Linked DNA regions of Nothobranchius furzeri. The protein of the gene in region 1 binds, or shares a complex with, the protein of each later gene. Links are inferred from orthologs where the notes say so. Each region holds a gene or a part of one and is shown in the gene's direction. Other genes may lie near its edges.

Region 1 (4,070 bases):
GAAACTAGAAAAGAGACTTCAAGGCTTCAGGTGGACAATACGATAATATCAGTGGACGTAGCTCCATCTGGGGTTTTCGTTTGTACGGCAGGTCAGATTTTGGACAATAGCACGACTGTTACCAGCACTTACACATCAGCATCAGCAGTTTTAAACACATCAGCAGGCGAGTGAATGCCGCGACCCTCTTTTTTAAATTCTAAATTAAAATTAAACAATTAAAATAAACATATTGTTGACTCTACAGGTGAATCTGAGGAGACTGAAAACACGTTTCCAGCCATTTATGGAGTATCAATCACTGCGGCATGTCTAGCTGTAACAGCACTCGTGATTTTTTGCTTCAAATCAAGACTGCAAGCAGGTAGGATTTGCAGCTGTAGGTTTTCGTTGAGACTTCCTGTTTTTTGTAATTTACATATAGATTTTAATCATGCACAGTGGTTTGCCCTTCAACCTGATTCTCTTTCTGTCTCTCCTCAGCATTTCCGTTTCACAGCTCTTGTTGCGGATTTGGCAGCAAGGTATGATGAGTATTATAAAGTGTATGTATGAAATACCACATGTGATGTTTTGCTAAGGTAATTAATGTCTTGTTTTATGCTGCAGGAAGAAGAAGAAAACCCGACTGTTATTTATTCTTCTCTTGTCATCAAGGCACCTCCCGCAAGAAGACATAGATATGCATGTGAAACTGACTGCATTTATGGTGAAATAAAAGTGTAGTAGAAACACACCTGGCAGAGATGAAAGCTAAACTGAAGAGTTAGTGATTGTAGTTTCCACACTGTCCTCTGATTTAGTGATCAATTTGTCAACAACTTCTAATATGATTGTATGTATAATTATTACTCCCACAGGGTTGTGGAGGTAAAATCTAAAATTTCTCAATTTTTGCCCAAAATAAATAAATAAATAAATAAATAAATAAATAAATAAATTTCTACATTTAAAATATATTTTATTTTATACATACTCTTCCATAATATGTTACGATATATTGCTGAAATGTGGATACATTTCTCATTTTGCAGATTTTGAATTTATGAATAAAATAATACAATTTAAATTTTAAATGTTTAAAAATTTCCAAAGACAATGAAGTGAATTTATTTTTAAGAAACTGTTCCGATATTTTAAAATGACGTTCTGAGAAAGAGTTATAAGCGATTAAAATATGATCTGATGAAGACAACTGAATAAAATCATAATAGAGAAACAGATTAGTTGTGACTGGACTGATTATTTTTTCATGATTATTTATAAACTGTTGGATCATTAATTTACTTTCTGCAGTTGCAGAATGAACTTCATTTCTATTTTTATTTCAGGAAATGTGGAATATTAATGCGAAGATCCTGTCATTTCGTTTGTGCACCGTAGTTTTTAGACATAGATGTTGTAAAACCGTCATTCTCCAGTAGGTGGCAGCAGAGTGTTATCATAGCGGTTGTAACGCGCTTCAAAAACAAGCCAAAGAAAGATGCTCTCGTATTTTTGATGCATATTGAATGTTTTGTCTAATCTCCACATGCGTGGGTGGTTTTATTTTGACTACGTTTCCTCCATTTTTTACTTGAACAGCTGGAGTGACTCATTTGTATGTTGCTGACGTAAAAACTTGGCGAACTAGCGGTTAGCTAACGCTACATGCTAACCGGAAGAGGCTTACCGGGTCTTTAACAAACCATTACGCCAACATTTATTCTGGTTTACCTTAACAGGTACGGAGTAGCATTCTGCTTTATGGCTATTTTTCATGTAAAAGTAGACTTTTTGGGGGAGTCGCAAACTGTATGAATGATTTAGCTTAGCAACATAATTTAGCCTTTTAACTATTAGCTAGCATAACGAACAAGTTAACATCATAAGTAGCTATTTACATTAAGCTCTGCATATTATCAAGTAACAGTGAGCCAGCATGCAAAGTGTTGATTAAAATAAGTTTAGAACCACCTCGACCTTTTTCTTAAAGTGAAATATTTAGCTATTTATTAGCATGTTGAGCTAAGCTTACTGACTGCTTTTCTTTTTAAATTGGGACAAAAGCAGATACCTGAGAAAAGATGGAGGCCCCTCCTGTTACCGTGATGCCTGTGACCGGTGGGACGATTAATATGATGGAATATTTGTTACAAGGTGAGTTAGTGAGATACAAAATAAAAATAGTCTCCCTGAGTGCTTTTTAAGTACACAAGAAAAATTACTTTTCAGACATTTCAACGTTTTATACAATTGTCAGTTTTGCATTAGTGGCCATATGTAGTATTTTATATCAGCTATTATGTCAACAATGAAAGATGGATGACTGTTAATGGGGAAAAATCTAAATTGAATTGAATAGGCTATTAATCCCAGGGGGGACATTCACTCTAGAGCAGAACATACGCTTAGAGAAAAGGAAGAAGAAAAAAATAAAAACAAAAGTGCAGGTACATACACAACGGCAGTAAGCTATTATTGTAACCTTCAAACCACTAAGAGCAACAAAATAAAAATACTAAATTGGGTTTCCAAAGATGTACAGCATAAGGAACACATATTTGTAGGTGATAACTAAGATTTAAAAGATCTTCTACCATAAACTGAAACTATCAGTTATTAGTCATTTTATTTTTACTAATTTGTAAAATCTCAGAATCTTGTTTCTGCTTCCATGAAAGCATAACTGTGGAAAAAGTCCTCAAAAGCTGGATTAACCTCTAATCTGACAGTTTAAGGAAACGTGTTACATGAAAAACATATTCTGATGAAGACTGATTATAGAATACATGTTTTATACCTTTACTGTTTCAGATAAAGTTTGAGTGACATAAGATGTTTGTTTTATTTTTGAATTATTCATGTTAGAAAATGATTGCTGTTATTTTTCCTTCAATGAAGCATTATTTTCTTTGTTTTTGTTGAATCCAGGCAGCGTGTTAGATCTGGCTCTGGAAAGCCTGCTGCATCGCCTCCGTGGTCTGTGTGACAACATGGAACCCGAGACTTTCACAGACCATGAGCTGGTGTACCTTCTGAAAGGCCAGCAGGGAAATCCTTTTATCCTGCGTGCCCGGCGCGCCCTCTCCCACCCAAATGCTCCATGGCATCTGCGTTATCTCGGCCAACCTGAAGTGGGAGACAAAAACCGCTACGCCTTGGTACGCAACTGCGTTGACGTGGCTGCCTCTCACAGCCTTCCAGAGTTCCTGAACGAGATGGGCTTCCGCATGGACCACGAATTTGTCACCAGCGGCCACATATTTCGCAAAGGAGCTATGAAAGTGGTGGTTTGCAACGTTTCTCGGGTCCAGCTACCAGGAAACACGGAAAACACAGAGCGAATGTCAAATTCGCACCTAGTTGAACTGAGCGTGTTGGCCCCTGCTGGCCAGGACACGGTTTCAGAGGACATGCGCAGCTTTGCAGAGCAACTGAAACCTCTGATTCACCTGGAGAAGATTGACCCAAGCAAGCAGAGACATTAGAAGTAGAATTCAGACTAACATGGACTCATTTAATGTAGCTACTTTTGTTTAATTGTTTGTTTTTTATCTTAATAGAAAATAAAATACTGCTCAACTTTTATTCGAGAGTTTTATTTGTTTTTGAATTTGTTTCACTATCTAAAAAATGCTTCATTTATTCCTCATGTTGATGAAAATTATAGTGTATTAACAGCTAAAGCTATTTATTCAAAGAACCTTTTAATGCTTTACTGAATAAGAGGTGGTTTTTGCTGTGGACGTTTTTCTTTCCGTCCACTAGGGGTCTCTCTTTCTCTTGTCTTTGCCTTGATTGGAACAAATTGAATGCTACCTCTCATCATCTACTGGAGCTGTGGTTGCCATGGAAATAATTAGCTGCGAGATCTGCACATCTTTTACCTCATTCTAATTAGCTTTCTCAATTGCTTAATGATACATAGACCTGTGAAAGCCTTCCTTTCTTTCCCTCAACAAAAGCATTGATTTTCGCTCCCTGCCCCTCTCGTTTCCACTGTTAACCCATTAGTGCCCCTTTTTCATGGGAAATTGAACTGGAACCATTACACATGAAAGCTCCACAGCTGCCTTGGGTCCTTAACT
Region 2 (4,228 bases), on another chromosome or scaffold:
TCAACGCCATAGAAAATGTGACTTTAAGAAAACCACATTTCAATACAAAATCGTGTGGACTTACCCCCGGACGGCACTCCGAATACTTCAGATCCTGAGTGTCCAACACAAAAAACCTCTCTTTGTAGTTATTTGGTGATGTTCTTTTCTTTTGCTGGGATTTTTTGATCATGGTTCCCCTCAAAATCACCCTGGGGAACATTGTCAAGAAGAACGCAGCGAGCGTCTGCGAATGGTTTTGTCACAAGCAGAGCCTCGCAGAGTCAGAAGAAGAAAAGGCAAAGTTGTGGATGATAAACTTCGTAGATGCTGTGGAGCTTCCGGCGTGAAGCTGCGGCAGGCAGTAAACCACATCCTTGTGGCAACAAATGATTTGCGCAAGCAGAAATACACACTGTTTGATGCACAAACACTGTAGATGTCTACCCTGCACATGTACTTTCACTAATGTTATAGAGAATTAACAAGTTAAGCCCAAAGCAGGACTGTGAATGCAGAAATCCAGGTTTTGGTAGTACTTTTTTAAACAATTGGGAAGATAAAATGAGTAACAAAACACAAAACATCACTGAAAAAAGTTAAGATAAAGAAATATCTCTCTTTCTCTAAATGTGTCTTTGCATTTAGGGGTTACACGTCAAAATATTGTTATTTTTCAGAGAAGTTTAGACTGTTTACAGTGAATGCAGTCCATTAAATTCTTGATTAAAGTAAAGAGTAAAAACTACTTAAGCCACATAAAAATTTACAAAACTCATCTAGGTGACAAGGAGTAAATAAATAAACGTGAGCAAACCGGTTCGGAACATTAGGAATTAAAATGCTGCTCACTATCTTTTCACAAGAGAATAATAGAATTCAGTTTGTCATTATCAACCCAATTTCTTTTTAATATCGATATCAACCCTTTTACACCGTTCTGTTTGTGGCAGGTGTTTCACATACATAAGAAATCACAATCATCTTTTTTTATTATTATTATTTTAGGATAAAATTCATAGATTTCTGCAGATTCTGAAAGAGGACAAACAGATCACAACATGCCCTATAGGTCATAAATTGTAAGTCGCTTTGGATAAAAGCGTCTGCTAAATAAACATAAAGAACAAACAATAACTGACATAGTTTGTAAAATGAGAACCCGAAGGAATTAATATACAGGTTATTGTTTTTATGTCTTTAAAATTAGTATTTTCATTCAAAAATATTCAACAGTTATCTGAATATTTTAGTAACTTTTCTTTTTCATGTATAAAATCAGTTCAGTTTGGGCATCAAACGGTACTTTTTCCATCGATCCTCTGAAGAACAAAGTAAAAGAAAAACAAATTTTTCCGTGCTTCCGGATATTTCTACCAATCAGCGTTGAGCTCTTTCTGTGACCGCACCCCAATCAGCGTTAGGAAAACAATCACGAGGACAGTTCAGCCAATAGAAATCAAACAGAAACGACTGGTCTTTTCTGCATTTATCGAAGAAGCTATGTTAGCCCTGATCTAATTTTCCAACGATATTTGATTAACGTTATTATTAGAAGTATATGTTGTGTTTCTAAAGGATTGTTCTTAAGGTGGGTATGAATACATTTACTCCCTTCTCATTTACCTTTTATGTAGTTCGCTTCATTTTTGACGTGCCCAATTAACTACCGGGATTAGCGGTGGCTATAGTTAGCTAGGTTTCTGTACAAAATGCAGCGGTGACGCTAACGTAGTTCTGCTTGTAGTGTTTGTCAATAACACATTGAGTCCGTAACAAAATAAAGGTAACACAGAAGACAAAGGTTCAATGGTTAGGTGCGTGCTAGGAGTTGAATTTGACTACTTAAATACCTAAGAACAACGTTTCAGCCAGATATTAAACCTATAATTATTAACTATGGCTAATAAAGCCTAATTTTACTTCAAACTAGATTGCAAATGTTTTACGCCAAAATGAGCAGTAGTGTGTATACTATAATTTACGTGTCATTTTAAGTTCATATCTACTTTTCCTACCAACAACAGCAGTAGGTGCAACTTAAAAACCCATCAGAATCTAGTTTTGCTTTGAATGTTTTGTGCTGGACTGGTGCTGCAACACATTAGTTTAGATTTTAGACTAACACTTTACTGGAAGTGTATGCTGATTATTGAATTTGCCCCTCCAGCCTAATGATAGAATCCTGCAGTTATTGGGAGAATGACGTTTGTCGAATTTTTAAATATATTTTATGTACAAGGATTTTGAGAATCTTTTATCGAAACTCTCAAAAAGTAAATCAAACAATAATAAATTCTTAATAAAAACATTTTATTTGTTACTGCAGTTTACATTTAACAGTATTTATTTGTACAAATGAGGGGCATTCAGGCTTTTACTACAATCTGTTATGTGTAATAGTGTATATCTTTTGATGCAGAGCTCTACACGATATGCTGTTACCTAATAAGTTATTGTGCTCATTAGGTAGCTGTAATGTATTGTGTAGTAGTAGTAATCAGCTGATAATGTCATGTTTTTCAGCTTAGCCATCAGCCACAGCTGGTTCTACATGAATGTGGAGCCGAGTTTTAATCTGAAGATGGAGATATAACTATGGTTTTGGGCTGAAATATTAAATTTAGAATAAGTTGCACTAAACTGCCACACTGATAATTGCACATGTCTACAGCACTATTAGACACTCATCTGTACAGGTTATCAGCTAAAAAAAAGTTCATTTAGGCATTTCTTGATCTTTAATAGTGCCTGGAATTCCTAATAAATGTTTTTTCTTTTTCTATACTTTCAGGTCTGCATCATGGGTGAACCACAGCAGGTCAGCGCCCTGCCTCCACCACCTATGCAGTACATTAAAGAGTACACAGATGAAAATATCCGCAAGGGTCTGGTCCCAAAGCCGCCTCCACCCATTAGAGACAGCTACATGATGTTTGGCAACCAGTTCCAGTGTGATGACCTTATCATTCGACCTCTGGAGAGCCAAGGCATCGAGAGGCTCCATCCAATGCAGTTTGACCACAAGCGGCAGCTCAAAAAACTAAACATGTCAATTCTTGTGAACTTTCTGGACTTGTTGGACATTCTCATCAAGAGTCCTGGCAGCATAAAGCGTGAAGAGAAACTGGAGGACATGAAGCTTTTGTTTGTTCACATGCATCATCTTATAAACGAGTACAGGCCACACCAAGCCAGAGAAACACTGAGAGTCATGATGGAGGTCCAGAAGAGGCAGAGACTGGAGACGGCAGAGAGGTTCCAGAAGCATCTGGACAGGGTGGTGGAGATGATCCAGGGGTGCCTTGCATCTCTACCTGATGACTTACCCCAGTCGGATGTAACAGACGGTGTGTGTGTTGGGACCAAGAGTGTGTCTGCTGGATCTAGTTTTGGTTGTTCTTCTGGACAGGCCCCCATTCTGAAAACCGAACCAATGGATGTAGAGGACACGGGCGCCAGCTGCATGGCTGCAGGTGATCAGGACAAGAATGTCCCAAGTTCAAAAACAGACAAAACATGGGACAAGGATGCTGCCATGTGTAGTATAATAGATGAGATAGCATGAAGATTTACAGCACATGCATGTTTTTACTTTTCACTCAGCATGAAATACTTTGTGTGGGATAAAAATACTATTATTTGTACATGTTCTTTTCAAATTCAACTAAATGTACTTGTAAATATTTCCTTAGCGTTTAAATCTTATACAGATCTTTGTGTTCACTGGGCTCAATAAATCTATTTGAAACCGCAGCAGGAGTTTAGTGCCGTCACAAAAACGATGATCTAATATGGTTCCACATAAACACAAAGTGCTTTTGTTAAGAATTTGTTGCTAATTCTGACGCTGTGGTTTGCTGATTATGCATTAGCGGTAGATGCGTAGATCCTTTAGCTAGTCGGCATATCAAAGAGCTTGATTCATCAGAGACCTGAGTAAAATTTAATTAAGTCATTCTGCCTTCTTTTAAAATGTAATGCAATGTAGACAAGTTTAGGGTTGGGGTGTGCTGAATTGAAAGGTGACATTTGATAGGTTTACGTCTGTCAGTCGTCTGTACATGTGATACTTTATACATACACTATTTTTCCAATAAAAATTCAAATAAAACCTATTTAATAGTGATGTGTCGGTCGCGAACGAACTGGTTCTAAGAGCCGGCTCTTTGAAGTGAACGACAGGAGCCGTCTCGTCATTGGGAGCCCTCCCCTCCCCCCTCCCCTTTTGCTTTGGTGAAAGCTGCAG
Region 3 (4,018 bases), on another chromosome or scaffold:
TACGATTTAACAATAACAAACATTCAACTGTGTTAGGCTGATAAGTCTCTGTCATCTGCTTTGCTTTTGAACTATTATTCATTCAGATAGTGTAAAAAAAACGCTCAGTGGGGTCAGCTCTGAGGAAGATCGCAGACACAATCAAAAGTGTCAGCAGGTAAAAAACCTTCCCCGTGTTTCAAAAAGAACCTAAAAAAGCGGTCAGAAGAAAAACACAAAAGATGTTTGTAGTCTTTAGAAAAACTGCTGGCTCATCAAATCCCCCTGATTAATAAATACAAGGAATTAATGCCACACTTACTAATCATGATTACTTTAGGTAGACAAACTGTAGTTCTTGTCTGATTTCTCACCTGACACCGTGTTGTTCTATAGGCTTATGTAAAGTATGAAGACAAGCACACTGTCCAGTTACATTAGTAATTGTAATTTCAGGATTTGTTGTGCGGCGAGCCATGACCAAGCTGTCCTGTGATGTCTGCCGTGCCAGCCTGGTGATGATGCTGCATCTGCCTGTGATGACCAGAGCTACATTTGCTGTCTCTGCAGAACAACGGGGTCTTGTGGTCCCATCTGAAGGTGCTGTGAGGGTCATCAGAGCAGCAGAGTGGGCAATTCGCCAGGCATCAGTGGGCAGACGATCACAGCCCATCAAACCACTGGAGGTCATCTACATCGTGCACAAGAGGATCGGGTCAGAGGATGTGTTTTTGCTCGGGGAGCTCATCAGTGAGACACCGTACGGAACTGAGTGTCACTCCCGTACACTGTTGACATCTGTTGTCTCCCTGTTCTTTAAGCTGAGGATGCACCACCTTGCAAGATTAGCCACTCGTAGCTTTCAGTGTGACAGCATGAGCCAGAAGCTCTCAAAAGCTGTCCTTTTCACAGGTCCGTAGGAAATCACAATGTGCTTTAGCATCTGTCTTAGATCTGTTATTTTTATAATCACAAACATGTATCATCTGTAATAAACAGGTTTTTCATAACTGTCAGTCCGTCATTCAGTCCACCAAGTTGCTGCATAAATAAACTTGAATTTAATTTAATTTAAACGTTTCATATAAAATCGGTCAATCAAATATTTACTGAAAAACAACTCACAAAGTTTATATTTAAAAACGTCACTGTGGTCGGGATGTTTACTTGGTTACGTACGAACGTGATGACGTAGACACATCGTATCCCAGCATGCAGCAGGAGGCCGTTGAGGCATCCAGCAGTTGGTAGTGAGAGGAGGTCCGAGGCAGCAGCGACTCCGCTCCGCTCACATATTTCCGACTCCATGTGAGATCAACTCAGACCTACATGCGACAGAAAGCATGCTGCTCGGGCGCCCGACGTGTTCCCGAAGCGGCTTCTGAGTCACCCGGCTTTCGTTTTGGAGGATTCCTCCCTCCATCTCCTGGATCGCACCGAACAGGCAATGACAACGGTCTCAGCAACCCCGCAGCAGATGAAGGACCGGCTGCTGCAGGCCATTGACAGTCAGAGCAATGTGAGCAATGCTAAAGCTAACGCTAGCTTGTTTGCCTATCAACATCCACGCAGCTGTTCGGGTGGCACGTCGCTGTTTATACAAACTACGCTGAAAGGTGCGCTCGGCCTCGACACGTCGGATGTCTCGGTGACAAAAAGGCTCGGGGCGAGTTGACAGCTAGCATGCCAGCTAATTTAGCAGCAGCGCTGCGTTGATTGGACGGATATCTGCCGTTATGTAGCCTGTTAGCTGCTAACGTAGCTTAACACCAAAGCAGATTTGGTATAAAGGAGCAATCCAGTCGTTGTTTTACGAAATCATCTCATCTAAAGAAAAGTTTAAGTTATCCCAAACAGCACAGTTTTAGTGAAAATGTTTTATTTAAACAATCACAAAGTTTAGGGAACCAAGTGGCTGGAATAGCGTTGAGGAAATGCTCCTTCCTTCTAAAGTAAGTTAAATGCTAACTACCCTGACTAGCTAACACAGGCAGGTCCACCGACTCGGGCTAGGGCTGACGCTGTCGACAAGATGCTCGGTTTGCTCCAAGTTCATAAACCTTTGCTGAGATGATTCCAGGTATTTTTGAGTGTCTCTGTGCCACATCAGCTTTGCAACATCGTTCGGTTTCTGGAGCTAAACATCCAGCTGAGTTTCTCCCGATGAACATGTTGTTTTCCACCCCGGAGTCAGGGAGCAGTTAGTCCAGATCTCTGGAGTTCCTGTTACTGTGGGAATGTGATTGGGTGGGATTGTCCAGTGTGATTACATTTTCATCCACAGACTACAGCTGTAAATCTAAATATTACTGCCACCAGTAGAAGCTGGGGGTTACTAACTGCTGGCATGTCCTTGTTGCAGATATGCAACATGGTGGTTGTATTGGAAGTGATCGCTTGTCTTGAGAAGTATCCGATTACCAAAGAAGCACTTGAGGTAAGAATGAACGTGTCATAGGCGGTTAATGCCTACAGAGGCTGTGGTGCCAAAATAGTTTTCACTTTTTAATTATTTATTTTCAGGAAACTCGACTTGGAAAACTGATTAATGATGTAAGGAGGAAAACCAAGGATGAAGACCTTGCAAGGCGTGCAAAGAAACTCCTGAGAAACTGGCAAAAACTGATTGAACCTGGGCCGGCTGTTTCAGCAAGTGTCCCGGGGTCTACCAATGGCAGTTCCCATCCCTGCAAAACCGATCCCTCTCCCCCTGACATTTCTGTATCGGGGAAAGCGGTCACAGAAGTCACAATCCGAAGTGATGCTCACAACACATACTCGCCTAAGGCTGAGAAGTCAAGTAACCGCAAGCGGCGGGCAGAGCACAGAGACAGTGGCGTGTACGTAACAGAAAAAATCTCCAGGTTGTCGGCGTTTGATGACTCTGTTTCTCCGCCACCCACCAACGGGACTGCTGGTGGTGCCGATGCGTTGGCCGACCAGGAGGTCGTTCCTTCTCCTGACAGGCCTCGGACAGACCACCTTGAAAATGACAAAGGAAACAGAATTCCAGTTAATGCTGTCAAGCCCCGTCCCAGCTCCCCTGGCATGGCCAAAGCACCTAGCACTTCCTCGTTGATTAAAGTTGCTGTGATGCAACAGCAAGCTAAACTGGAAGAAGGGGGCGGGGGCTATTACCCAGCGAGGAGTCCCCGCAGTCTCACTTCCAGTCCCAGGAGCCTAAAGCAAGACCCCGTTTCTAAGCGTTCAGCGTACGTAGCAAAGGGAACGCCGGTCCCCAGCCCATCTTCTAGAGACTCCCCCCTGTTCTTCTCCCAGCCTCTGTCCTCCCCAGCACCGGTGTCTCACAGTGAAAAACTTTCTTCTCTTCGGTCTTCAGTGCCCTCTGCTAATTCATCAGAGGTATTCTCTCATTGCTCTCCCCAAGATCTATCTGCAACACTGGATTCCCCCTCCCCCCCGCCTCCCCCGCAGAACTCAGAGGTCCACAGGTTGGTGGTTGAAAGAAGCTTAAGTGTGTCTGATGACCCTGATGGGCCAGTCCTTAACTCTGAGCATAAAAGGAGGAAGTACAGGCCTAGAGACTACTCCGTTAACTTGGATGGCCTGAAACTAGAGGACACGACTAAACCTGTGCGGTTAAAAGAACGCAGACTGACATTTGACCCGGTCACTGGTCAGATCAAACCTCTGGTGCATAAAGAACTTTCTCCAACAGAGGACCCCCCCACTCCGGACCTGGGAGAGTCCAGGCAGAGAACTGAAGTCGTTGTCCAACAGCCCCCTTGTGCAGCCCCCGCCCCAGGTCCCAGCTCAAACCCCTTCCACCAGACCAACTGGAAGGAGCTGACTAGAAATGAAATAATCCAATCCTACTTGAACCTTCAGAGCAACGTGCTCACCTCCTCGGGGGTCCAGGCCCCTAGCGCACACTTCTTCATGTCAGAATATCTAAAAAGGGAAGAAAGGGAGACTAAAGACTCAAATAAAACACACGTTTTGCAGACGGACCATTTAACAGGAGATTTACCAGGTGTGAGTCGGGAGGTGACGGATGAGGACCTGGACAGAATACACA
Region 4 (4,046 bases), on another chromosome or scaffold:
AGGCATTTTGCACTCACAATCAGGCAAAGCCTTAGAGCTTCTTTTATTTAGGAAGGCACACCCAGAAGTTACAGATCAACCCCCACACACAGTTCTTTAGAACCAGCTGACCGGGGTAACCTAATCAACAGATTGTTGGACCTTCATCTTGTCTCAGGAAGTTACAGATAACAGGAGGGTGATCAAAGAGGTCATTCTTCACCACTCTAAAATGTGATCAAATTGATGACCTTCTGTTTAAACAAACACCTACACTGTTACATCAATAACCCTGTGATGTCAAAATCAGTTATATCCATCATGAATGAATACATTCATAAATTAATTAATTAATGATTAATTATTAATTAATTAATATAAATATATATATACTCAAAATAACAATTTGTTCTTGTTAATATTTATAATAACAGAAATACATATATTAGAATATATAATATAAATTAATATATTTATAAATAAATAAATTGACAAATCAATTAATTATTACATTGAATGAATGAATACATCGATAAATTAATTAATTATGGATTAATTATTAATTAATTGCTATAAATAAATATATTCAAAATAATTATTCATTCTTGTTATTATTTCTAAGAACATAAATATATATATTAGAATATATAATATAAATTAATATATTTATAAATAAATAAAATGACAAATCAATTAATTATTACATTGAATGAATGAATGCATAGATAAATTAATTAATTATTGATTAATTATTAATTAATTGCTATAAATAAATATATTCAAAATAATTATTTATTCTTGTTATTATTTATAAGAACATAAATATATATATATATATAAAATATAATATATGATATATATGAATATATTTTTAAACAAATTAATTGATAAATCAATTAATTATTACATTGATAAATGAATGACTGAATGAATGAATACATTGATTAATTAATCACCTCACACCTTGACTACTGTAACTGTCTTATTTGGTGTAAGTCAGAGTACTGTAGCTCGCTTACAGCTTGTTCAAAATGCTGCAGTGAGATTTTTGGAAGGCAAGAGAAAGTATGAACACACGACTCCAATTCTGGCTGCTCTGCACTGCTCCCTGTCAATTTTAGAATTAATTGTTTAATGGGTTGGCCCCTGCCTATTACAGCCACATGTTCCTGGTCTGGCACTCCTTTCTGTGAACCAGTTTCTGCTCTCGGTTTCCAGAGTTCAGCTGAGGACAAGAGGGGATAGGGCGTTCTCGGTAGCGGGCCCGAGACTATGGAATGCCCTTCCCTTAACCACTAGGCTCTCTCTCCCCATGAGTACAGGTTTGTAAAATACTACTTTTATGATCTGGCTTTTAACTCTGTGGGTTAGCTGTTGCTGATATTTTTACATGCTCTTATACTGTTATGTGTATATTGTTTTTTAGTTGTCCCTGCTGGTTTTATCTGTTTTATTTTGATTGTATAGCACTTTGGTGGCATGGTTCAAGCGGAGCTGAGGTGGAACATATTTTGGGGACTCATATTTTTGTAACACCGGAAGTGATAAGAACGGTTCATCAGAGGCATCCGGCTAAGATCAGCAATGCAGGTAATCGTTGATAATAGGAAAATAAAGTAAAACAAATGTAGGCGACATTGTTGTAGTTTATTATGTTCACTGGTATATCAAATATATTTGCTCTTTAAAGATAATTTAACTAGCCTTCATTTGCGAAGCTATGTAGCACGTAGCTTTTCCCTGCTAACATATTTGTTGTCTCGTTTGTTTGTCAGTCATCAAAATGAAATAAAATGATCGTTCTTCACGTGTCTTTCAGCAAAGGGAAGAAAAGCAGTTGGAAGCCTCTGTGGACACGCTGATCTCTCTGGTGGCTCACGTTAAAAACGCTCTGCAGAGTTTTATTGCCAAGTTAGAAAATGAATATGAGCGTTTGACCTGGTAAATTATTATTATTATTAAAATAGAAACGTACTATCTTATCGGTAAAGAAATGCAGCATTAGATGGGTGGCCGGTGATGCCTGTGCTTGGCAGCCTCAGCTCTGTCAGTGTGCCACAGGGCAGCTGTGGCTACATTATAGCTCATCACCACCAGGGTGTGAATGTGTGTGTGAATGGATAAATAATACACTTTGGAATCCCCTGACTCTGAAAGGCGCTATAGTGTGGGTCATTTTCATTTGATATTGCTGTGGTTGGTCTAAATTTCTAGGCTAGTGAAATGGTGCTGCCTGATCACGAAAACAATCATGATTATTTTTGTTCCTGTTGGTCATTTTTTAGTGCTAACTAAGGATGAAATAAAAATTGTAAATTAGGTTAATTGCACAGTCCTTAGTGAAATAACCTTAGTTTAAAATATTTTAGTCCAGATGCGGATCTTTTGATTAAAATTTCCTCTCAGACGCTACTTTGTGTTCTGCTTTGACTCAGGCCATCTGTTTTGGATAACTTTGCACTCCTCTCTGGTCAACTGAATACCATCAACAGACTGCTCAAGAATGAGAAGACGCCATCTTTTCGCAGCCAGGTTATTATTCCGTTGGTCTTATCTCAAGAAAGAGATGATGACTTAGCGGTGAGTAGCAGCATCTCAGTCTCATCTACTTATTTTTGAGTTAAGCTCACTAATAGCTTCTCACTGCCTCTCAGAAACTCACAGAGAAGCGTGTGCCGGTGTTCAGCCATGAGATTGTTCCAGACTACTTGAGGACCAAGCCTGATCCAGAGGTGGAGGAGCAGGAAAAACAGCTGAGTGCAGAGGCAGCACGGATAGGTCCTGATGCAGCACAGGTTGTGTGGAATAATATTTTGTGTCCTGTTAGTTGTCTGATTTGATAGCTTTCATCCGGCTCTGCTTTGTTTACCTTCATTTGTCTGCATGAACAGAAACAGATCCAGACTTTGAATAAGATGTGCTCCAATCTGCTGGAGAAGCTAAACAACCCACGGGAAGACCGAGATGCAGAAAGCGCAGGTGTGTTCAGGTTTTGCTGCACATTTTTTTACCATTAGAAAAAGTTGTTTAAAAGTTAAAGTCCCATTAGTCGTCACACACTAGTGATATTTTTTCTCCGCATTCGACCCATACGCTGGGGAAGCGGTGAGCTGCAGACATGGCCGTGCTCAAGAACCATTTGGTGGTTTAACCTAGGGCTGCTCAATTAATCGAAGTTTAATCCCAATTACGATCTGAGTTTTGAACGATTATTAAAACAAAACAAGCCAATTATTTGCTCCTCCCACTTACGCTGTCCTGAGTTGCAAATGAAGCGCTCCTCCTTGATGCTATTTCTAGCAGCTTCTCAGACCCCCTTCTTGACTTTTTAAATCTTAAAAGTACCTAGCAAACACCTCAGAAACATCTCTGGAAACCCTTAGCTACTTTCTGGATAACTGTCGTGGACATTTCCTGCAGGTTAGCTAAACACTCCGCCTGCGCTCCGGACCGTTCTTCAGGACATTAGGAAAGGGAATGATGTAGTGATGTGTCAGTCGCTAAGGAAACGGCTCACAGAGCCGACTCCCTGTTAGAGTAACCAGAGTGAGTAACACACACACCGCACCTGCGGACTCCTGAGCCTCTAAAAACAGCTAAATGTGCGCGTGCGGCGTGCTAAACACACGTGCAGCTTGCCCCCGATTGCTGTGAGACCGGGTTGGGGGGTGCAGCTTTGGTTGGGACAATTATTACATTAACTGATGGACCTGTAAATAAATAGTTTATAAATAAGGTAGAAATAAGTTCCTCACGCTGATAAATAATAACTAATCTCTCTGAGGACACGGTGCTAGTGCACTCTCCTACAGCACCTTGACACGACTCAATAAATGTTATGCAACATTTTGTGAACATCAATTTATTTGCGTTTATTTGTTATAAATGCCACTGTATAATTCTTGCTGTCAGTATTTGCAAGATATTGGTATTTGGGTCTGTACTGGTTAGACTAACATGAGTTAAACCAAGGTCTATAGCCCTTGGGTCATAGACTATGAGCTATAAGTATATTGGTCTTTTTATACTGGGAATCAGGAGTTATTTTAGTGATCATCTTGTTTCTC
Region 5 (3,500 bases), on another chromosome or scaffold:
AAAAATAGACAATTGTGATTAAAGAGAGAGAGAGAGGGTGAACAGGAAAGAGGGAAATCAGTGGATCCTGAGGAAGGCGGAATAGGTGGGGAGAGCAGAATAAGGAGAGGGTGATGAAGGTCACGCCAAAAGCCAGCTTGAACAAGTGACTCTTCAGCTGTTTTTTAAAGGAGACCACTGAGTCCGCTGATCTCAGGCTCAGGGGGAGAGAGTTCCAGAGTCTGGGGGCCACAGCAGCAAATGATCTGTCACCTTTGGTCTTTAGCCTGGTGCTGCACAACCAGTAGGCTTTGATCACTGGACCTCAGGGTCCTGCTGGGGGTGTAGGGACTAAGAAGATCACCAATGTAAGATGGTGCTTGTCCATGGAAGGCCCTATAGACCAGAACCAGGATCTTGAAATGAACCCTGAAGTTGACTGGCAGCCAGTGAAGCTGGAGGAGAAGCGGGGTGATGTGGGTGTGTTTGGAGGACTTGGTCAGAAGCAGAGCACAGACAATCTGAACCACCTGTAGACGGTTCAGGGAGGTTCTGCTCAGACACGGGAAAAGAGAGTTACAGTAGTCTAAGCGTGAGGAGATGAAGGTGTGGAGAACTGTCTCAAGTTCAGAGCGGGACAGAATGGGACTCAGCTTAGCAATGTTCCTGAGATGGAAGAGTGAACAAGAGAACTGACATGAGAATCCAGGGTGAGAGCTGGGTCAAAGGTCACACCAAGATTCCTGACAGAAGGTTTGGTTTGAGAAGCAAGCTGACCAAGAGAGTCTCTGACTTTGGGAACCAGCTTGTCTGGGGCACAGATGAGGATCTCAGTCTTATCTTCATCCAGCTGAAGAAAGTTCCCAGCCATCCAGGTTTTGATAGAGTCTAAGCAGGTGTGTAACAGCTGAAGCTTAGACATCTTATGGGGCTTAAAGGAGATGTACGGTTGGATGTCATCTGCATAAAGATGGTAGGAGATTCCTTTGAAGGAGCTCAGGATGTGCTGAAGAGAAAGCAGATAGAGGAGGAAGAGCAGAGGCCCCAGCACAGAACCTTGTGGGACACCATGGGTAAGCGAGGTGGTGGAGGACCTAAACTTGGAGACGGCCACAGAAAAGGAGCGCTCAGAGAGATAAGAGGAGAACCACTCCAGAGCATTGCTTGATAGGCCTACCCAGTCTCTCAGCCCCTCCAGTAGCAGGTGATGGTCAACAGTGTCAAAGGCTGCAGTCAGGTCCAGCAGGACCAGAACAGAACAGTCCCCTGCATCACTGTGAGTCAGAAGGTCATTAGAGACCCTAAGAAGAGCTGTTTCAGTAGAATGAGCTCTAGGAAAACTGGACTGGAAGCTATCTTAGGGGCCAGTCCCATCTGTACCGGGTCGGCCCGGGCCGGGTAGCCCCAGTCGGCCCCAGGTTGGCGCGGTTGATTCCACACATCCTTGCCTTAAGCCCATGTGGGCTGATTCTACCCACCAATCAGAGGCTTGCTCTAATGGAAGGTGTGAATTTGCTGTCAGCAGTGGGTGTGTTGGCCCTGGTCGACCTGAAGCAGACCCCTTCGAGAAGAGGGCTGAGAATGAGCCTTGGTTGGCCCGGAAAAATACCAGGCCACCCAGATATGTAAACAACCTACGCTACCCGGCCCGGGCCGACCCGGTACAGATGGGAATGGCCCAATAAATGTTGCTATGGAGAGAGGGGTCGAGACTCAGTTTTTTAAGAAGCGGGTGGATTACAGCATTCTTAAAGTAAGCAGGGACCTGACCAGAAACCAGAGAAGCATTAATTATAGAGAGCACGCTGGGACCAATGGACAGAAAAGCACTTTTAAACAAAGATGAGGGTAAGATGCCGAGGGGGCATGCAGAGGTCTTCATAGAGTTAACTAGTTTGGTTAACTCAGGCAAAGAAACAGGAGCAAAGCTATCTAGGATGATGGGCCTGGTTGGAGTCGGGAGAGGCAGCGATAAGGCTGAAGGAGAGATGCTAGATCTAACCTTATTGACTTTGTCCACAAAGAAAGACAGAAAGTTCTCACAGTCTACAACAGAGTGGATGGAGGCTGTAGGAGTGGCAGGAGAGACGATGGTGCTGATGGTGTTAAACAGCACCTTGGGGTTCCCTTTGCTCTGGGACACCAGGTTGGAGAAATAGGAAACCCTAGCGTCTCTGACTGCAGAGTTAAAGGATGTCAGAAGATCCTTTAGGTGCAGCAGATGGACGTGGAGATGGGTTTTCTTCCACAAACGCTCAATTTTTCTGCATTGGCACTTCAGGCTGCGAAGGCTGTCATTAAACCAGGGAGTAGGGTTCACTGCAGGAACTGATCTGGTTCTGACAGGACAGATGTTGTCCAGAATGGAGAGGCAGTGCTCGTTAAACTGAGAAGTTAAGGAATCTGGGTCATTATCAGAAGAACAGGGTGGATCAAAAGCAGCAGAAAAATTGCTAGCTGTGCTCTCATTAAGAAAACGAGAACTAACTAGACGGCGAGCAGGAGGTGGGGACGCAGAAACTGACAAGTTAAAGAAAATGCAATGGTGATCTGAAATATAAACGTCCTCAGGACAAACACTGTCAGCATTTAGACTCAGGGTAAAAACAAGGTCTAGAGTGTGTCCCCTGGTGTGTGTGGGGCCAGAAACACGCTGGGTAAAGGTGTGTGTGTGTGCGTGCGTGCTTGTTTCCACTCCATCTCTATGCTAATGGCTCTCATCTGTTCACAGTCACATCTCCTCAGATACAGGTGACCTTATCAAGGTGATTTAAGATTTCCTGCACAGATTGGGACGATCGTGTGACACATACCTCTAAGCTCATGATGTGCCTCAGCTCTCAGCTGTGTTTCTCATAAATGAAAAGCACAACTCCCATTTTTTATTCCTTTGAAGTACCCTCTATCACCATGTGTCGTTTTGCACAGAAGCTTCAAATAAAAGGAGGCTGAAAAAAAGAAGAGAAAAAGATGACAGCCTAACCGCTTATGTAGATTTCACAGCTGGCCTAGTTGGTAGACTGGAAAGAATTCCATCCACCAATTTTCTCTTTTTTTAATCATCTCTCTCCTGCACAAACAGGAGGAGAAGAAGGGCAAAAGAGGAAAAGAAGTAAGCCAGAAGCCTTTCCTACTGCAGAAGACATCTTCTCTAAATTCCAGCACCTCTCCCACTTTGACCAGCACCAGGTCACCTCACAGGTATGGAAACCAGTTTGTCACCTTTCACTTGATGTTTTTGGACTGGCCATAGATTAAGAAAGCAATTGAGGAGAGTACAGATTGTCCTGTAGAGCAGTGGTTCCCAACCTTTGATCCTTGAAGACCTGTGTTCTAGACGAGCCAGAACCCCCAACCCCAGCACTCCTGCCTGCATACGCACATTAAATCTGATTAGTTACAAACGTTACACAGACCTACAGAGTTTTAACACTTATGGAGTTTAGATTATACCATTGGGTGTGTTATTGGGATTTTAGGTTGGGAGCCACAGCTGTAGGGCATGGTTGCTGTCAAGCAGG
Region 6 (4,146 bases), on another chromosome or scaffold:
CAGCTGAAGTGGCAGCAACAGAAGAGGTCATTAAAATATTATATTATATAATGTGTGTGGATCCGGCCCGCGAGATGGTTGTGTAAACTTTATTTTCATACTTTACAATGTAGAGTGAAAATAAACTTATCTTTGTGAGCAAGTTTTCTCTGTAGAGTATAAATAAAACAAAGCTGCGCTCAAGGCTCACACAAGAACTTGAATCACATCCAATGACATGGCGACCGTAGATCAAGGCAGATCAAGGAAGCACAATATCACAGAAGCAGAAGTTGAGGTACCTGTGGGTGAGGTGGAGAAATGAAAGGAAGTACTTTTGCAAAACAAATAAGAGAAAATCCACGGAGAGACGCAGCGTTGCTGAAGCCGTCAATGTTGTAAATTCTTCAGAGAGATCTGTGGCAGATATAAAAAAGATGGTCCAATCAGGATTCGATTCCCAGACTCCCAGGTGAAAGTCACATGTGCTAACCAGTCAGCCAAATGGAGATCTCCCCTATTCAACTAGCCAGGGTGCATGATAAATCGAGTTACAGTAACAGGACACACACTGTCACAGACGCATGACATTCCTTCTCAATCTGTCCCCCTGCTGATATTCTGCATTCCGTATTCTGCGCGTCAGGCTGTGTGTGTGTGTGTGTGTGTGTGTGTGTGTGTGTGTGTGTGTGTGTGTGCGTGTGTGCGTGTGGGGGGGTCTTGTTCTGTGTGAAAACGAAGCAGTACAAGTGATAATGCTGCAGGATTTCATAATTTTATTCTTCTCAGCAGCAGCACTGCAGGTGCTCTCCATGTCCAAAATGTGCGTAAGCCAGGTGCTTAGTCATCTTAAAGTTGTGTACATTCTTCCGCTAAGTTTTCTTTCATAAATCCCAAAGTTTGCTTGTAAAGTTGCTTACACAGTTTTCCGACCCTGTTTGTGAGTAAGCAAGCTTTATAAATGAGGCCCCAGGGCTGGGCAGCCGTTATAGGGGAATACCACACTGTTAAGACCCTCAGTTAGTTAGTTAGTTAGTTAGTTAGTTAGTTAGTTAGTTAGTTAGCTAGTTAGTCTGATAGACATTAAATGGTTATGCAATTACTATAGTTTTGAACTATAATTTATAGTTATATTCTTCACCTAAATAATGGATGAGTTTATTTTTAAATGTTTGCTTAATCCAGCTTTTCTAAGGAGAAATAGGTCAATATTATATTATATTATATTATATTATATTATATTATATTATATTATATTATATTATATCATGTGTGCTTTAACTGCCCTCAAATAAATTCTGTTTCTATTTCTGTGGCTACCTCTAGTGGTCAGAAAGAAGCACTACAGCAGCCGTAAACTGTAGTGAATGTCGTGAAGGACGCTCGGTTTCCCGTCACAAGAGTCCGCTTACGTTTGATGGCGTTTGTTAAACTTAAACAAAGACGGAGGCTCTGAAGATTTGTGCTTTCTTAGTTTTGTGTTCAAATTTGAAAATATTAGGTTTATACCCCAGTCAATGACTCCTGTTGTCATGGAAACAGGTTGGTAGTGTATGTTTTAGCTTCGGTTTTAAACGGAGACAAACATTCCGGTTTTAAACTATTATTACAGCAGTTACGTTGATTTTTGGTTAATATGCGAAGCCGTTAGTTTTAAAATTCGTGTTGTTTTCCCACTTTTAGTGTTTTTAGTTGTTCGAACAAGTTTTAAGGAAAGTATAGAAGCACTTTAATAAAGTGTCTGGTTTTTAAGTGGAGTCTGGTGAACTAAACGTGTTTTCTGTTGTGCCGGATGTTTATGTGGTCCAGATGAACAGGCTCGGAACCGATTCCAGTCCGAACTGGAGTTTGTCCAGTGTCTGGCCAACCCGAACTACCTGAACTGTGAGTGACTGATCCACAGCGAGAGAAGCGGGTTCCTAACGTTCACAGAATGAAACATCTGGTTCTGTTTCAGTTCTGGCTCAGAGGGGTTACCTGAGGGAGAGACCTTTCATCAACTACCTGAAGTACCTGCTCTACTGGAAGGAACCTGAATATGCCAAGTTCCTCAAGTAAGAAGGGTCCGGGATCCACAAGCAGACCAAGCTGGTCGTACTTTTGGCTCATCGGGGAACTCATGTTGTTTTTAAAGAGCAAGTCACCCCTTACAAGAAGCGCACTTCACTCCCACTTCATGTTTGAAAAATGCAACAAATGCTGTTGCCTAGCAGACCGAGAGGGTGGAGCCACTAACAAATACACACACTCACGACATTGTGACATCATAATGTACCAGTTTACATCATAGCATACCTCTTAGCCAATAGCGGTGGCAGATTTAAATTCAAATGCAGTGCAGAGTTTTTACCTGACAACGGCACAACACTGACAGTTTCAGGCAGAAAATTAAAATTTTAACTAAAATACACTAAAGTGCAAAACTATTGACTACACGTGTCTGCAGGACAATTAGACACGCATTTATATAGTTTATCAGAAAAAAAATAGTTGATTTGGGGGTGACTTGCTCTTTAAAGAGCAAGTCACCCCCAAATCAACTATTTTTTTGCTGATAAACTAAATAAACGAGTGTCTAATCGTGCTGCAGACACGTGTCGTCAATAATTTGGCACTTCAGTGCATCTTAGTTAAAATTTAAATATTCTGCCTAAAACTGGCAGTGTTGTGCCGTTGTCAGGTAAAAACTCTGCACTGTATTTGAATTTAAATCTGCAACCGCTATTGGCTAAGAGGTATGCTATGATGTAAACTGGTACATTATGATGTCACAATGCTATCGTGAGCCTGTGTGTGTGTGTATTTGTTAGTGGCTCCGTCCTCTCGGTCTGCCAGGCAACAGCATTTGTTGCATTTTTCAAACATGAAGTGGAAGTGGAGTTATTAGACTCTGGTAGGGGTTGACTTGTTCTTTAAAGTGACGATCAGTCAAACACTGCATCGGTGTTTCTTCTAAGATGTACATGGGGCCACTGGGGTACGTCTCATCATGATGAACCCCCCTTCAAGGACATTGCAGTTGTCCTGGATATTTTTACACGCTTTGTTGTTGTTTAATAAAAGGTGGTTTTCCTGAAAAGTAGGGATGCTCCGATCCAGTGGCGTGATTTTAAAAGGATCGGGAGAAATTAATCAAATTTAACCTTTTAAAACAACAAACGTGACTTTTTTTAATTCATTCTGAGATAAAGAATTTCCAATGGAATACTACCAGTTTAGTTTTAATTTCAACAAGTTCCTCTACATCAATATTCTTTGTTTCGTATGCAAAAACAGCACCTTAACATCACACAACTTACATCAGGCAGAGATTCAGACACCACGCTGCAGCTGTTAGCAAACAGGCTAACGTCTGCAGCATGGTGGTATTTTAAACCGGACAGAAAAGGCAGAGCAACAGCCACGTGTAGTAAGTGCATACTGGGCATTCAACATGCTGGAAGAATGTTTCCATGATTCTCTGCCTTCAAACAAACTACCTTCTCTTTCCCCTTTGGGTGTCAAAATGAATCACCGGTCTCCATTAATTCCCAGTTTGCCACTTACAGTCCCAGTTCACAGTGAACTCGGACAAAAAAGTGGAACCAGCTGACAGAAAGGTACGCTAATATATGAAAAAATAATTGCATACAAACATGTTTCCTGCAGCCCCAAAGCCCAAAGCACAGGTAGGTGTTGTGCGTTAAAAGTTAGCCTATCAGCAGAGGTGCCGCTTACCTTATCCGTTACGGGATTGTGCATCCATCAGTCCAGCTGCATAATGAAGGAGGAAACAACCTTTAAATATATTCACAATGTAAACGCGTTTTTAAATCGGTGTACTTCCCAAACAAATGAAAGTGACAAAGGACAACTTGTAAGTGTTTTTTTATCTTTTTTTATTTTGATGCTTTGCTGAAAACGATCGGATCAGGAGCTAATAAACATGATCGTAACACGATTTCTTAAATGGTGGCTTTACAAGTAAACGCACAACTTAGACAATCAAAAAATGGGTACAGACAGAAGCTTATAACCCCAACCCCCCCACACCATATGAAGCTTAAGCTAAAATTTAAGAGTAGCATACTGATACCATAAGAGTTATACACCAGAATTGAAATTCATGAGCATGTATTCAAATCCACATTCTTGCTTTAAAAATAAAATAACCGTTAACACTTTCTG
Region 7 (3,500 bases), on another chromosome or scaffold:
CATCAGATCACCCTGACGCTGCTCGGTACCATTTTACCCAACCTGCTCACTGACTCCGCCCACTGGCACAGCCTTTCAGACCCTCCTGGGAAGGCTTTGGCCAAGTAAGAGCAGCTCCTTTCTGCTGGTTAAATCTGCATTTCAGCTGCTTTGCATTAACTTTCTTCCCCCTTCAGGTTGTCTGTGTGGTGTGCGCTCAGCTCTTTCTCCTCTCACCACAAAGGCCCCCTCTCAGCACGGCAGAGAAAAAGGCAGAGAGAAGACATAGAGGTAAAACTGCAAAGGCCAGGAATGGCATGTTGAAATGCATGAGTGATGTAATGTCATGGTTGCGTTTCATGAGCATCTTTCTAACCACAGGACTACAACAGCCTCTTTCCTCTGGACGATACTCAGCCGTCCAAACTCATGCGGCTGCTGAGCTCCAATGAGGATGAGCCTGCAGCTCTGTCCAGTCCAGGTCCGTCTAATAAAGTTTGTGTTTGGTTGCACGCTTGAATTATGGAGCTTCAGACATTTGTCTCTCGGTCTGAGCTGGGGATTATTCAGATGCTTTTTCTAATATCCACTTCCAAACCGGTTTGTCCCACTCAGAAGGGATAAACTTGGCTTCCAGTGATCCCAGACGTGAACGGTGGCGTTAGGTTTGCAGGCTTGCAGGTTCTAACTTGAGCCTCATGTGGGGTTAAAATATTGCCAGATTAAAACTCTGAGCAACAGCAGTGTTGTATTGTTACTCAATTCGTCATCACATGACCAGTATAATGAGCTTCCAGATCACCAGCTCTGGAATTTTTAATTATTTTCCCTGTTTTTGGCTGCAGCTTCGGAGACAAATTCCCAGACAAGACGTTGCATGACTCAGGAAAAACTTCAAGGCCCTTTACACTTTGCTGTCAAGACTGAAAGTAAAAGTGCTTTTGTTCTTTCAAAACCTCAAATAAGAATCATTTAGAAACTATTCTGGTCAGACCAGCGGCCGTGCTCAGTGATTTTTGGAGTGCAGGCTTCTTAATTACAGAACAACAATACAAAATCAGAATATAAGACATGGTTTAAATGGCACCACAGACACCTCGAGTCTTAAATAGATTTGGAGTATTTTCATGTTTAAGTGATAAAACTTTTTCCTTTGATGTAGCTCAGGTGGTTTATCAACCTATCATTTAGCCGCTTAAATGTATATTTATCTACAAACAAACAAGGAGCTTTAATCAGAGGGTAAAACAAAGTAAGATGCATACTCTGAGGTGGGAGTGACCAAACGCTCTTGCGTTTAAACAAATGGGACTAATAAGAAGGAGCCGTGACCTAAAACTTGTTCTGAAGGGCAACTTGTTTTACTCTTTGTTTTCAGATAATTCAACAGTTAAGTTATGTCAGCATTGGTTAAGTTGTTTGGTTTTCATGACACTAACCCATCGTGGTTATTTTTGCTGAATGCAGTCCGCCGACTGCACTGTCAGCTTAACCGATAATGATACTGCCACCAACGTGCTCCACAGTTGATGGTGCTGCCCACCCCTTTACCCCTACAAACACATCAGGTGATTGTGGTCAGAGCAGCTTTGGAAGGTCATGAGATTTTCAAACGCTTCACTCGGTCAGATTTGAGTTATTGGGTTGATTTAGGTGTCAGTGTGTGCCATTTAAAGGTTCCATTTCATGCTATGTTAAACCTTTGAGAACAAAGGTAGGCAGATTATATGGTAAAATATTACCATTGGCAATATTGAGATGTCATTTATCTTAAATACAAGTTATTTTCTTCAGCATGAGTTGATACCCAGAAATAAAATGCTTAATTTCAGTGAAACTCCGCCCACGCCCGCTCTGACAAAACGTGACTACAACAGTGTCATAGGTGAGTCAGTTGCTGTGTTTGTTATAAAATGGCCTGTATTTGATATAGCGCTTTCTAGAGTCCTGGAACCCCTCAAGGCACTTTACAACACAATCAGTCATTCACCCATTCACACACACATTCACACACTGGTGGGGATGAGCTACGATGTAGCCACAGCTGCCCTGGGGCGCACTGACAGAGGCGAGGCTGCCGAGCACTGGCGCCACCGGTCCCTCCGACCACCACCAGCAGGTAGCGTGGGTTAAGTGTCTTGCCCAAGGACACAATGACCAACAGACTGAGTGGGGCTCGAACCTGCAACCTTCCGATTACGGGGCGAGCACTTTACTCCTGTGCCTCCGCCGGGGGGGGGGGGCAGCTCAGGAGGTAGAGTGGGTAATCTGAAGTTTGTAGGTTTGATCTTGGCTCCCACCAGAGAATGCCGCTGTTGTGTCCTTGGGCAAGACACTTAACCCACCTTACCTGCTGGTGGTGTTTGAAGGGACCGGTTGCGTCAGTGTTCAGCAGGCCTCGCCTCTGTCAGTGTGCCCCAGGACAGCTGTGGCTACATCATAGCTCCTCCCCACCGGCATGTGAATGGGTGAATAACTGATTGTGTTGTAAAGCACCTTGGGGGGTTGTAGAACCCTAAGATGGAGCTATACAAATACAGGCTGTTTACTATGGCAGGCCAGCGGTTAAGGCATCTGACTGCTGTCTCAGTTTTGCCATGTGCTGACGTGGGTTCGAATCCCGGTGGTGTCGGAATAAATTTATTTAGCCACCTGAATCAGATTTCATGTTTTCATATTTTAGTTTAATTATTTTCTGTAAAATATTTTGTGTCTCTAAAGATCTTTGAATTTGGTCATTTTCAAGCAGCATTTTAGTTGATTTACTCTGCTCACCTCACATAGACTCACTCTGGCTAAATGACCAAAGAAAGTAAAAAAACAGATTAGTCCTTACCTTTTAAACAGTTTCCCAATAAAAGTGTAGCTAAAAAACAGTTACTGCCAAGGCTGGGGTGCGAACTTACCCAAAACTACATGCCCGCCTGGTACTCTAACCACTGGACTACCAAATCTGCTACATGACACCAGTTGCCTAAGCCAGTGGTTCCCAACCTTTTTTGACGCTAGGACTCCTGAGCCGTTTTCTCGCACCATGAGTACCCCCTTAGTCAAACGTGTTGACGATTCCCCAAAAGTGTATAACTGGGTGCTTGGTAAAAGCTGGTGTATCATTCATTTGGGTAGAAATGGGCCACGTGGCCTAAGATCTATATCACAGTATGTTTCTTTCCTCTATTTATATGTTTATGTCAAAATTAGGGGTTTTACATTCTCACATACCAGATGAATTTCAGCACAACAAATACTTCTAAAAATGATTGAAGAACATTAAACATTCAAAACATACTTAAAAATACATCTTTCTAGTAGTTTTTATGATGTTCTGATTCATTCTTCAAACAAAGCAACACAAAAATGCTCCTGAAACAAATAAAGATGAAGATATTTAAATAAAATTCAAGCTAAATGGGATGAAAACACAAAATTATAGTTTGAAATAAAGTGAAAACATGTAAAAACGGAAATAAGATTTCCAACTTTCCTCATTCATTTAATCATTTTTTATGTTTTTCATTTTG

What was found.
Region 2: med18 (region 1) and med7 share a complex: the UniProt entries of both Homo sapiens proteins name them as parts of the mediator complex. The link is inferred for Nothobranchius furzeri from reciprocal best matches to the Homo sapiens genes MED18 and MED7.
Region 3: med18 (region 1) and crsp7 share a complex: the UniProt entries of both Homo sapiens proteins name them as parts of the mediator complex. The link is inferred for Nothobranchius furzeri from reciprocal best matches to the Homo sapiens genes MED18 and MED26.
Region 4: med18 (region 1) and med8 share a complex: the UniProt entries of both Homo sapiens proteins name them as parts of the mediator complex. The link is inferred for Nothobranchius furzeri from reciprocal best matches to the Homo sapiens genes MED18 and MED8.
Region 5: med18 (region 1) and med12 share a complex: the UniProt entries of both Homo sapiens proteins name them as parts of the mediator complex. The link is inferred for Nothobranchius furzeri from reciprocal best matches to the Homo sapiens genes MED18 and MED12.
Region 6: med18 (region 1) and med31 share a complex: the UniProt entries of both Homo sapiens proteins name them as parts of the mediator complex. The link is inferred for Nothobranchius furzeri from reciprocal best matches to the Homo sapiens genes MED18 and MED31.
Region 7: med18 (region 1) and med24 share a complex: the UniProt entries of both Homo sapiens proteins name them as parts of the mediator complex. The link is inferred for Nothobranchius furzeri from reciprocal best matches to the Homo sapiens genes MED18 and MED24.

The regions. Positions count from the first base shown.
Region 1 is NC_091745.1:72,040,841-72,044,910, forward strand, and holds med18 (mediator of RNA polymerase II transcription subunit 18), read left to right. Parts: upstream 1-1,439; 5' UTR 1,440-1,724; intron 1,725-2,049; 5' UTR 2,050-2,066; coding exon 2,067-2,139; intron 2,140-2,913; coding exon 2,914-3,470; 3' UTR 3,471-3,570; downstream 3,571-4,070. UniProt on the Homo sapiens protein: Component of the Mediator complex, a coactivator involved in the regulated transcription of nearly all RNA polymerase II-dependent genes.
Region 2 is NC_091742.1:50,786,289-50,790,516, forward strand, and holds med7 (mediator of RNA polymerase II transcription subunit 7), read left to right. Parts: upstream 1-1,428; 5' UTR 1,429-1,570; intron 1,571-2,773; 5' UTR 2,774-2,782; coding exon 2,783-3,547; 3' UTR 3,548-4,097; downstream 4,098-4,228. Other genes in the region: itk (tyrosine-protein kinase ITK/TSK), read right to left, coding at 65-202. UniProt on the Homo sapiens protein: Component of the Mediator complex, a coactivator involved in the regulated transcription of nearly all RNA polymerase II-dependent genes.
Region 3 is NC_091751.1:71,981,071-71,985,088, forward strand, and holds the start of crsp7 (mediator of RNA polymerase II transcription subunit 26), read left to right. Parts: upstream 1-1,218; 5' UTR 1,219-1,426; coding exon 1,427-1,498; exon of another isoform or gene 1,499-1,595; intron 1,596-2,341; coding exon 2,342-2,416; intron 2,417-2,502; coding exon 2,503-4,018. UniProt on the Homo sapiens protein: Component of the Mediator complex, a coactivator involved in the regulated transcription of nearly all RNA polymerase II-dependent genes.
Region 4 is NC_091756.1:57,827,886-57,831,931, forward strand, and holds the start of med8 (mediator of RNA polymerase II transcription subunit 8), read left to right. Parts: upstream 1-1,246; 5' UTR 1,247-1,301; intron 1,302-1,446; 5' UTR 1,447-1,563; coding exon 1,564-1,569; intron 1,570-1,798; coding exon 1,799-1,920; intron 1,921-2,414; coding exon 2,415-2,559; intron 2,560-2,633; coding exon 2,634-2,774; intron 2,775-2,870; coding exon 2,871-2,958; intron 2,959-4,046. UniProt on the Homo sapiens protein: Component of the Mediator complex, a coactivator involved in the regulated transcription of nearly all RNA polymerase II-dependent genes.
Region 5 is NC_091741.1:82,309,236-82,312,735, forward strand, and holds part of med12 (mediator of RNA polymerase II transcription subunit 12), read left to right. Parts: intron 1-3,061; coding exon 3,062-3,180; intron 3,181-3,500. UniProt on the Homo sapiens protein: Component of the Mediator complex, a coactivator involved in the regulated transcription of nearly all RNA polymerase II-dependent genes.
Region 6 is NC_091750.1:26,556,666-26,560,811, reverse strand, and holds the start of med31 (mediator of RNA polymerase II transcription subunit 31), read left to right. Parts: upstream 1-1,346; 5' UTR 1,347-1,496; coding exon 1,497-1,521; intron 1,522-1,788; coding exon 1,789-1,863; intron 1,864-1,936; coding exon 1,937-2,033; intron 2,034-4,146. UniProt on the Homo sapiens protein: Component of the Mediator complex, a coactivator involved in the regulated transcription of nearly all RNA polymerase II-dependent genes.
Region 7 is NC_091756.1:31,519,125-31,522,624, reverse strand, and holds part of med24 (mediator of RNA polymerase II transcription subunit 24), read left to right. Parts: coding exon 1-104; intron 105-176; coding exon 177-270; intron 271-360; coding exon 361-460; intron 461-824; coding exon 825-908; intron 909-3,500. UniProt on the Homo sapiens protein: Component of the Mediator complex, a coactivator involved in the regulated transcription of nearly all RNA polymerase II-dependent genes.